Rattus norvegicus: one gene and its partner. The protein of the gene in region 2 purifies or fractionates together with the protein of the main gene of each other region. This does not show direct contact. Links are inferred from orthologs where the notes say so. Each region holds a gene or a part of one and is shown on either strand. Other genes may lie near its edges.

What was found.
Region 1: the proteins of Eif4b (region 2) and Usp11 purify together in Homo sapiens (affinity purification with western blotting; 3 studies listed by BioGRID, with this or other methods). This does not show direct contact. The link is inferred for Rattus norvegicus from reciprocal best matches to the Homo sapiens genes EIF4B and USP11.

What each region holds. Positions count from the first base shown.
Region 1 is NC_086039.1:4,038,869-4,045,143, reverse strand, and holds the start of Usp11 (ubiquitin carboxyl-terminal hydrolase 11), read left to right. Parts: upstream 1-2,107; 5' UTR 2,108-2,116; coding exon 2,117-2,268; intron 2,269-6,275.
Region 2 is NC_086025.1:135,101,567-135,106,402, reverse strand, and holds part of Eif4b (eukaryotic translation initiation factor 4B), read right to left. Parts: intron 3,907-4,836; coding exon 3,693-3,906; intron 3,247-3,692; coding exon 3,191-3,246; intron 2,951-3,190; exon of another isoform or gene 2,598-2,950; intron 1,928-2,597; coding exon 1,822-1,927; intron 1,801-1,821; exon of another isoform or gene 1,632-1,800; coding exon 1,559-1,631; exon of another isoform or gene 1,240-1,558; coding exon 1,159-1,239; 3' UTR 1-1,158. UniProt on the Homo sapiens protein: Required for the binding of mRNA to ribosomes. Functions in close association with EIF4-F and EIF4-A. Binds near the 5'-terminal cap of mRNA in presence of EIF-4F and ATP.

The sequences.
Region 1 (6,275 bases), on a different chromosome or scaffold from region 2:
ATCACTGTGTCCTTGTAAACATTGAAATCTCAATTTGAAGCTACAATGGCTGTCTAGTCCCAGGTTTGAAAAAGTAGGACAGCCTATTTTCGGTCGTGTCAACATGCTTTTAATCCCCGCCCTTGGAGGCAGAGACAGGCAGATGTCTTGAGTTCAAGTGCAGCCTGGTCTATAGAGTGAGTTCCAGGACAGAGAAACCCTGTCTTAAAAAACAAATAAAACTCTAGGACATCTCCCCATTCCTGTCATTCTTTTAGTTTTGTAATGGATAGGATGTCTACAAATTCCTCAGCAGACTTTCTATGCCCTCCCATTCTCTGCCCCAAAGTCATTATTTTGGGGGAGTTTGTGGGTTGTCAACAGGTGAAGACAGCCAAAAGAAAAAAGTAGGTGGGGAAGTACAGAGAATTAAAGTCATCACTGACCAGTAGAACTGAGAGCAAGAAAAGGGTAGCAGCCTAATAGGATGCTTCTCACCCAGAGAGACAACCTCCAGACTTTAAGGACATCTGGTAATATCTGGAGATACACTGCCTTTGTTCTGAGGGTTTTCTAGTAGTAGAGATCAGGGAACAGCTTAATACACCAAAGTGCTGCTTCTCACAAGAAAGAAATTGCAATGGTACTGAAGTCTGACATAGAGCCTGGTACACCTGTAACCTGTACTCCTAGCATTAGGGGGGCTATGGCAGGATGATCACCATGAGTTCAAGGCCAATCTGAGCTTCATGTTCAGAACTGAGACCCTATTTCAAAAAACACCAAAAGAACCCCTGGCCCATTCAATGGTTCTCACATGTTTGGCATTATATTTCCTTTATATTAAAGATTGAGGACGCCCAACGAATTTTTGCTTAGTCCAAGATACCCTCTGAATAATTCCACTGTGTATGCATGAAAATGAGTGAAGATACTGCAGAAATATTCTTGATTTTGTGAACCCTCCTGAGAGGGTTTCCTGAGCTGATAGCATGTGACCACAGTTTGAGGATCTACCTGGTGTTTAAGGACACAGTTCTGGAACTAGGTGTGCAGTGCTATGGCACATCCTAGCTGAGGACAAATGATATCACATTTCTGACTGTCGGCTTCCTGCATTGTTACTCATGGGCAAAAAACAAAATACACTTATCGCCATCCAAGGCTACTATTTAAATCCAACAAGTAAGTCACTTAAACTGGGCAGAGTCACTATTTGTTTTGCCTCCAACAAACACATCAGATTTGTCTCTAGTTCAAGAAGCTGAGTGTTGAAGTGCATGCCTGCAATCCTTCATTTTTGAGGCTGAGGCAGGAGGATCAAGGCAAATCATTTGCCATCTTGGGCTTCATAGAGTTGGAGGAAATTCTGGGCAATTTAGCAAAAGGCCCTGTCTCAAAGACAGAAAAGACAAACACACAAACACACACACACACCACAGAGCCACACCCTAGTTCAGGCTCTCAGGCAGATAGTAAACTCTATTTGATAAAAACAAACAAACAAACAAACAAAAAACTACTTTACTTCATGTATATAAATGTTGTTTACCCTGTATCCATATATGTGTACCATATATGTGTACCTTGTACATTTCCTTATATCCGCTGTTATGGATGGTTGTGAGCCACCATGTGAGTGCTGGGAATTGAACCCCTATCTTCTTCGAGAGCAAGGAGTGCCCTTAACCTCTGAGCCATCTCTCTAGACCATACATTTTTGGTTTTGATGGACATGAAAGGTAATTCTAGTTAGGCTAACAGAAATGCTGCTTTCACAATAGGGGTCTGCAGTGAAAGACTTGCCCTGAGCATTCCTTGTGAGGCTCTAAACACACACATTTGCTCAGTTTGGAAACCTTTGGCCTCCACCTTTTCACCTGGTGCCCTGGTGTTAGAGAATTCCACAAGGCACTAACGTCTTAGTTCTAAACTAGAGGGTTAACCCCTGGTATTGGTTACAGAGACCACAGACCACCACCCAATTTTGACCAAATTGTGACGATTCCAAGATGGCAGTAGCCCCCTGATTGTTGGGGGGCTCTGCTTCCGTTTCCGGGACAGAATCCGGAAGTGCCAGTTGAGGGTCGTCTTCCTATCTTCAGTTGCGTCGGCAGTTGGAGGAGGACGGACGGTGATGGCGGCGGTCGCAGCGGACCCAGCTGCAGCTGCCGTCCCGGCCTCTGCTGAGGACAGAGAGACACAGCCCGAGGCAATGCCAGACCTGGATCAACAGTGGCGCCAAATCGGGAATGGGCGAGAGCGTCCACTGCGAGCTGGCGAAAGCTGGTGAGGCTGGGCTTCAATGAAGCCTTGGCCAAGGGGACCGTGGGGTTGTTAGTATCGCGGGGTACTTAGAAATCAAATTCTGAGGATGAAGCGGTGCGAGGCGGGGAAGGGGCTCGGGCTGGCGGTAGAGAGGGGGCGTGGAGGTGCTAAGTGAATGAATCTCAACCTTTAGGGAAGAGGCGGGGCCCGAGTGGGGCAGTCAGCCGCCTGAGGACAAAATGGGGTTTTTGGTAGAGGTGGGGTGGGAAGGGAATGACCATGGGAGTCGGGACTGCATCATTTGGGGAGGGGGGTGAGAGGGGACTGCGTCTGGGGGAACCTGGAGCCTGGAAAGGAGGCTGGCTCCATACTTAAGGCGGGGGCGTGGCGTGTGTTACGAAACGTTGCGTCGGTTGAAAGGAACGGCCTACGAGTACTCGAAGCGCCTGTGAACCCAGCGAGCTTGGTGGCGTCCGCTGAAGAGCAACTCCATAGCCTATAGCTGTGGGCCGAGGGGCGGAGGAGTGTGGTACAGGGGAGGGTGCCTGGCTCCTGGGAACGAGGTGAAGGTCTGGGGAGGGGCAAACTGTGGAGGAGGGGCAGTGCCTCGGGCAGAAAATGGCGCCTGCAAAAGAGCAAAGATTGTGACGCGGTATTTTTTTGTTTTTTGTTTTTGTTTTCTTGATTATTTTCCCCCCGTAGCTAAGGTCTCCTTCCTAGAACAGGAGAAAGCAAAGGCGATTTACAAAAGGTTATTTGGGAAATTTTCTTCTACGTGATAATATTTTGTAATCAGTAGAAATGGGTATTTAAAAAGAATCCACAGCTTTTGACAAATTGTCAGACCGATTTTTAAAAAATGCTAATCAGTGCCTCTTAAAATTTACTGCTCCCCGGGTTTCTTTCTGAGTTGCTTCTCGTTTATTTTTAAATTGTGAAAATCATAAGACCTACAAAGATGATAGTATAAAACATTTTACATAAATTGATGGACATCCTGCTGAAAGGAATGGTTTGTATGCTTCAAAAATGGCAAGGCCGTGAAAGACATATGCTGAAGAACTGTTCCAGATTGAAGGAATTAATGCAGTTTAACAATTCTATGCAACACATAATTTGGATCCTAGAACAGGAAAAATAAATTATTTTTTAAAATGAGGGTTCTTTCTCATAATTTATTTCTCTTTCACTATAAATTTTACTGGAAAACAATTGGTGAAATTTGACTGAGGCCAGTATATAAAATATTGGTACTGATAATTTTTTTGTTTGTGATAATTGTAATGTTCTGAAAGAATATCCCTTGTTTGGTGAAAAATACAGACTGAAAATTTAGGGATAAGGAACCATTCATTGTGTAAACAACTTACCAAATAATTGAAAAACTATCTTATGTTAAAATGCACATGGGAGGGAGAAAGCTATGGAAATACTACTGGTCATAGGGTGCAAATTTTAGTTAGACAAGAGGAACAAATTCAAGAGCTTCCTTGTACAAAATGGTGTTTAGAGCTAATAACATCCTATTCTATACATGAAAATTGCTTAATATTTACATGATCTTACACCAATAAATATGTGGCATAATTAGTATGTTAAGTAGTTTGACTTAGTGTTTTACAATGTATATATCAAAACATCATGCTGTATACCATCATTGCACACTTTTTGTCTAGTTTAAGATAAATGAAAATATCCTCAGAGATGATATGGGGAAAAAAAGAATAGAACAAATGGATAAAGTGTGTCCGATTTGGGGAATCTAAGGGCATACAGAGAAGTCTTTGTATTATTTTGTCCCCTCTTTTTAGACACAGGGTCTCTAGTCCTGGCCGTCAGGGAAGTCACTATACCAGGCTGACATTGAACTCAGAAATCTGGCTGAGATTACAGGTGTACTCCACCATGCCTGGCTTTTTTAAAAACCCATTTTCAGTGAGTTTACTTCAAAGAAAAATTACTAAATTTAAATGTGGATTCATCATCACTCATGTGAAGATTCAGAACATTACCTTAAAACAATCATATTGCTTCTCCCAGATAGAAATTCCCCTCCATTGTCATAGGAAACGAGCACCCTAAATTTTGAATTAAAGGTCTCTTTTCACATTTCATTATCATAATAAACTTCCAGTATTCATATATAAATTTGTATATGTAGACATATACTATATATACAAATGTGTTTATGAAATAGACCATATACATACTGTAAGCTCTTATATTATTACATGGTAAATAGTATCTTTATGATGTAATTTGAGACATTAACCTTGATTGGTTGGTTATAGCTCTGCCAGGTTTCTCAAATGTTAAGACACTGTTTTTCTCTTAAGCAGTAACTTTAAAATAGATATTTAAATTTTTATTTATATGTTATGTCCATCTGTTCCTCAAGATGTCCAAGAGCTTCCTGTCTCATGCAGTATAAATGGTAAAATCCTGAGTGACCTGCAAGGCTTTTGGAGGCTGGTACCCTTTCTCTCTAATCTCTCTCAGCATCAGCCCAAAAGCCCCCTTCCTCTCTCCATCAGGGACATCCACATTAGACTATTGATGTTCTTTACACTTTAGGACCTTTTCCAGGTTTTCCCACTTTACAGGCTTCCTAAACAACACTGCCAGTGAAATGTGTATGCATTACTAGGGAGATAAATTACAATTCCAAAACTAAAGGATATAGTGACGTCTTTCTGCCATTATCTCATAGTTCTCCAGCAAAGACTAGCCTCAATCCATCCTGAAAACAACAGTAACCATACTGTTTTTATAACTCATTTGGAGATGTACAGACAGTTCTCAAAGCTTTGGTTTATGCCTCTTTCCTACATTGACAGATGTGCCATGATTGTGTTAGTGGTAGATAACACATGATCCTGTCATCCTTACCAATAGCCTTTTAAATTAGCCTGCCAGGAGAGGATCTTTTTGGGGGTGAGGAGACATTTGAAAGTAAGTAGAGGTGGTGGGTACACAACATTGTGAATGTACTAAATGTTAATGATTGTTCACTTTAAAATGGGTTAATTTTATGTTAACTTCACCTCATTAAAAATAATTACCACACCAGTGTTGGTTGAGTATTAAAGCCAATTTGTTTCTCCTGTTGGAATTGTTATGAAGCATTTTGCCAAGCTCCACTTTTTGATGCTTATCTAAATTAGGTAAGAGCAAAGTATCTCAGAGTTCTATATGGGTTTGTGTCACAGTTGAGAAATATGTATTTATAAAGCATCTGAATTCAAGGACTAGCTTCAAATCATACATCTGTCAGTATTATCTGCACTTCCCACCCTTAGTTTAATAATAGATTAAAAACAATTCCAGTTAATTAATTTGGTCATGTTTACTGATTAAATTTCTTAGATGCATTTATTTGGGGGCAGGGTGGGGTACAGCATGTGCTGGAGGAGGTCAGAAAACTACTTGTAGGACACAGTTCCCTGTATTTTCTGGGGGATCAAATTCAGGTCAGCAAGCTTGGCAGCAAGCACCTTTACCTACTATACCATCTTACCCACCTTACACCTTATTTTTTGCTACAGGGCTTTTCATTGAACCTGGACCTCTGTTTTAGACTGGCCAGCAAACCTCTGGGATTTTGTCTCCATGCCCACCTCAAGTGTTAAGATTACCACTATGCCAAACTTTGTTTTTTCAAGACAGTAGCTTTGGCTGTCCTGGAACTCACTTTGTATACCAGGCTGGCCTCAAAGTCGCAGAGATCTACCTGCCTCTGGCTCCTGAGTGCTGGGACTAAAGGTGTACACCACCACCACCACTACCACCACCACCTGACTCGTGCCAGACTCTTTGCTCAGCTTTTTTTTTTGTAGATACTGAAGATCCAAACACAGCCAGCACTTGAGCCAGCCCCTAAAGAGCTTATGTTTTGAGACCACATTCCAATCTCTGAAAAGACAGCTTCCTTGGAAAGTTTTAGTTCTTGTGACAGTGAATTGTCTACACATTAAGTCAAGGATAGTTAAGACTTTGGTTAGATCTGTACAGGGTACAGACAACTTCCT
Region 2 (4,836 bases):
CACCGGTGTGGGGTTCAGTGAAGGAAACTTATAGACAGAAACCTTTAAACACTCGAAGGCTGAAGGCTCCAACTCACCCCGTCTACACCCCATTCCCCACCCAAGCCCATCAGTCAGGGATGACAGCAGCAGATAGGGCAGGAATCAAAAGATAAAGAAAGCACAGAGCTGGTCTGCCTGGAAAAGCAGTGAGTCCTCAGGCCCTGCTCTTGTGGCCAAGATACAATGTCTGTGGAGGTGTGTGACTCAGAGACAGCTCTGGGAGTCTAAGTGTCATGGAGAACATGAGATGGCCAGAGTGACAAGGTTTTCAAAGAATGTGGATATGCTCAAACCTCTAGAGAGGACAGTTTAGAAGGGGCAAAACCAGGACACACAAGACTAGAACTTCCCACGACCTGTAAGTGCTTCCTCATCCAGAAACGACCACTCTATTCATGTAGTTACTGGAGGTCACACCATTTCCCTTACTACCTGGTATAAAATATAATCGATCACCTCCCCAAAGCTTTTCAAACCACGATTGAATTTCCCATTCATTTTGGTCCCCAAGCGGTGCTACTGTTAGTGGCCTGTAGACTCACTCCCAACTACCCCCTTGGGGGGTAAAAAAAAAAACAAAACAAAAAACAATTCTCCCTAGGCTGGCCCCACTGAAGTCAGAACTAAAGTAGAGGGGTTGGCAGCCTCCTGGAGACTAAAACAGCTTGAGAGACTAGAGCTACCTAAGGATGGGAAGTTTGTTCAGGTAATGTGTGGGGGTTCACAGGTGCCACCTTAGGATAAGAATTAGAAGGTGGAAATCTCACTTCTCCCTGCGTTCTCTACTGCCTAACTGGTGTGACTGCCTCTCTGTCACTGCATTTCTGCTGAATGGAGCCCCAGGCACTATTCACACAGGTAACTGCTTGGTATCATCAGACACAACTTCCCTGTTCAGAAGCGGTAGCCGCATCTCTGGCTACAATGGTGATTCTCCAGTTACTCCAATACTTTAAAAGGCTGCAGCAGCATGCAAAAGAATTTCATTTCATTAAAAAAAAAGTTTAGAAAGGTCTTCAGGAGATGGTGAGTTTATTTTGTCTTGTCTGGATAGAGGTTTGATTTGCTCTTGAATGTTCCAGGGTGGAGACAAGGAGAAAGCACAGGTGTGGAGGTCTACTCAGTGCAGTCGTCTCCCTCATCCTCATCCTCACCGTCCACAGACAGAGCAGCGTACTTGCTTGCAGAACTGAACTTCTGTGACAGAGGAGAGAGGACAAGGTCATGGACAGAGTCCAAGATTCTCCTACCCAAACCTAAAAACACAACATCGATGTCATGGCACATCCATTCTTCTGGGAGAGCATGTTCTGGTACAGCGGTCAGGGAGGGTCAGGGGCACGAGTGAACTCAGCCACACATCTCCTCCTTATGGGAGCCGAGAAAGGTGGTTTCAACAACAAATGCCGACCTTAGCTTTTCTCACTGATCTGAACAGTACCGATGCCTCACTTCCACTGAAGAAAAGGGAGTCAGACACAGAACTGAGCAGCAGAGGCGTGTGCACGGTACTTACAGAGGCTCGGTTCTCCTCAGATTTCTTTGGCTCAGGTGCAGATCTGGAGTCTTGATCTTTTTTGCCGTCCTTCCTGCAGAGACACAAGCATCCTATTCAACACTGTGGCCAGGACAATGCATCACTTTAGCTCCACAAATCTAACCGGGACTCTAGCTTGTTCAGAGGTAGACCTGGAGTACTTGAGAAAGCCCAGAACCACTTCATAAAGATCCCCGCATCTGATACCAGATTCATAAACGGTGAGGAAAAAATATACACACCTATCCAACTCCTTCCAGTGGTCTCTGCTCCCTCCATCCCCAGGACCACGGCTGGAGTGTCCAGTCTGGCCTTTGGTGGTGCTCACCCCATCCACTTTAGTTTCATCTGTTCAAGGAGAAACACAACACCAAACTCAAGGCTTATACAGAAATCCATCTCCCTGTCCTTACATGAAGAACTCATTAAGGGGAATTACCCCCACTCCAAACCAGCCTAAGGCCTTTCTTTCCATTAAAAGTCCTACTGTAGTGACCTTGGTTTACTAATGGCAACGTTTTGAACCTGGACAGATACGTTTATTCCTGTCCAATTTCCCCACAAAGGCAAGCTTTACCATGAAGAGGCAGCTTCAAGTACTCTTTGAAGAAGTCATTCCTGCCCTCTACTGGCAGAAAAAGCTAGCTCACAGAACATTAGTATAGCCACTCCAGCAGGCCACTCCCTCACAAAAGCCATGGAAAGTAGAAGCTGGCTGGGAAGGGGTAGAGAGGCTAACGGGGCTGCATCGATGAATATGACTGAAATACACCATGTACATGCATCCAAGTGCTTGACCAAAAGAGCTGAAAAAACACTGCAGCTTTCATTAAAGAATGTCTCTTGCTAGGTTAGGTGGTGATGGCATACATCTTTAATCCTAGCACCCAGGAGGCAGAGGCCAGCCTGGTCATAGTTCCAGGACAGCCAGGGCTACCCAGAGAAACCCTGCCTAGATAAACAACAAAAAAGAAAGATTCTTTGGCAAGGTGTTTAATCTTGGAGTTCTTCTTTACAGTTATTTTAACCCCTTGTACCGGCTGGTTTTGTGTGTCAACCTGATACAAGTTGGGGTTCTCACAGAGAAAGGAGTCTCCTTTGAGGAAATGCCTCCATGAGACCCAGCTGTAAGGCATTTTCTCAATTAGTGATGAAGGGGGAGGACCCAGCCCATTGTGGGTTGTGATGTGAGTGGTCTTGGGTTCTATTAAAGAGAGAAAGCTGAGCAAGCCTGGGGAAGCAAGCCAGTAAGTAACATCCCTCCATGGCCTCTGCATCAGCTTCCAGACCGGCTTGAGTTCCAGTCCTGACTTCCTTTGGTGATGAACAGCAATGTGGAAGTGTAAGCTGAATAAACCCTTTCCTCCCCAACTTGCTTCTTGGTCATGAGCATGAGGCTTGTGCAAAATAGAAACCCTGACTAAGGCACCACTGGATGTGTTTGCACTCAAAGATTTTTTTTTTTTTTTGGTTCTTTTTTTCAGAGCTGGGGCCAAACCCAGGGCCTTGCGCTTCCTAGGTAAGCGCTCTACCACTGAGCTAAATCCCCAACCCCTGCACTCAAAGATTTAACTGGATTAAAAATCTACTTCTTTCCTGGCATGGGCTCACCTTTCCTTGATGGTCCTTCCTCAGAGGGCTGAGCTGGAGCAACTTTCCCTCCACCACTGGAATAAAGCAAGTCATCAGCCATCAATTTTTACAGAAAACACAAGCTTACACCATTTTCCCAATGTAGTAGGTATCCCACACTAAGATATTAGAATACTGGAAAGACAACGAAACAGTCACTTCTGTACTAAGTGTCACATGCTTTGGAAATCCAGCATGGTTAGCTGGAGTCTGGGAAAAACTGAAGAGACTCACTGAAGTGAGCAGGGTTACACTGTATGTCCCAGGGCAAAGCATGTCTAGTATTTCTGGGGTAAATACTCCCACCATAGTTGATCCTAACCCATCAAAGTGATGTCAACTGGCCAACAAAAATCAGGAAAACATGTTTTGAGACAACAGTGTATGAATTATACAGGAGGCAACCTCATCTGCCATATCACACAGGCCACACTCCCTCAGGGCACCTCCAGCTAAGCAGCTGCTGTCACAGGCCACTCACCTTGTAGGGGACGGCTGCTCTGTGTCTGAGCTCTGAGATCGAGCAGGAGGGTTAGAGCTTCGCTTCACCCACGCATTCTCCTTTGGTGGAGGGGCTGGCATTACCTTTAGAGGCTGGTCAGGTTTAGGAGGCTTAGAGGTTGGAGAGTGACAGTCTTCTTCTTTATTGAGGGTTTCATTTTCTAGAGACTTCTCACTCTCTCTCCTTCGTGTATCTGTGGGGGAAGAGGGACTCGCTATACAGAGCCCACCTACAGTGTAGCAGCAGGGGACAGGGGGCATCGCCATGTTTTTTTCCATCAGCAGACACTAACTGGTTCCTGATAGCTACAGTTACACATAAGCCAATGGTTTCCAGGCCCCTGGAGAAAAATGCTTCATGGATACAGAAAAGGGAAAAAAAGCTATTGAAAGAACAGCAATCTTGTCTTTAAACGAATGGGCATTTTTTTTTTTTGAGTTATAACTTGTCTGTCTGTCTGTGTGTTAGGACGGCCATAACTGGGGATAACATGCTCTTGTGAATGGGACTCAGGACCAAAGTCCAGGAGCCACTGCTTAGCTCCAGCTCAGCTCAGCAGACAAAGGCCTTTACATGGGAACTAAAGCCAGACACATCTGTATTTGAATAAAACTCTACCGTGGAGCCTGCTTTGCCAGGTACCTCCTACATCTGAAGTAGCAAAGTGGCTACACAAACGGACATCACACTTTAACCAGGCAGAAGGAGCACGGCATTATGTTACAGGGCTACTACAAAGAAAGGTGAAAGGTTTCCAGAAAACTCGTACAACACTGGGTCAAGTGACAAGTCTCCTCGGCTTTGGGATGTTTTAAAACATCGAGTACAAGCAAACTTGGAGGGAGGAGAACCTCTATCTACAGCAACCCAAAGTGAGTGAGAGGAGGAAGGGGCGCTGTAGTCAGTGGTCCAGGACTGCGACAGTACACACAAGGAAATGAGATTTACCCTCAAGAACACCACTTTAAAGTTGCCTAAATAGCATCAAACAATGCCACTACAAGGTCAAAAACCAGTACAGAGTAAGGCGGCTCAAAAATAACTACACTGATGAGACAGAAAATAGGGGCTGGCAAGCTAGCATGGCAGGTATGGCTGCGGGTTACTAAAACCTGCTGGGGTC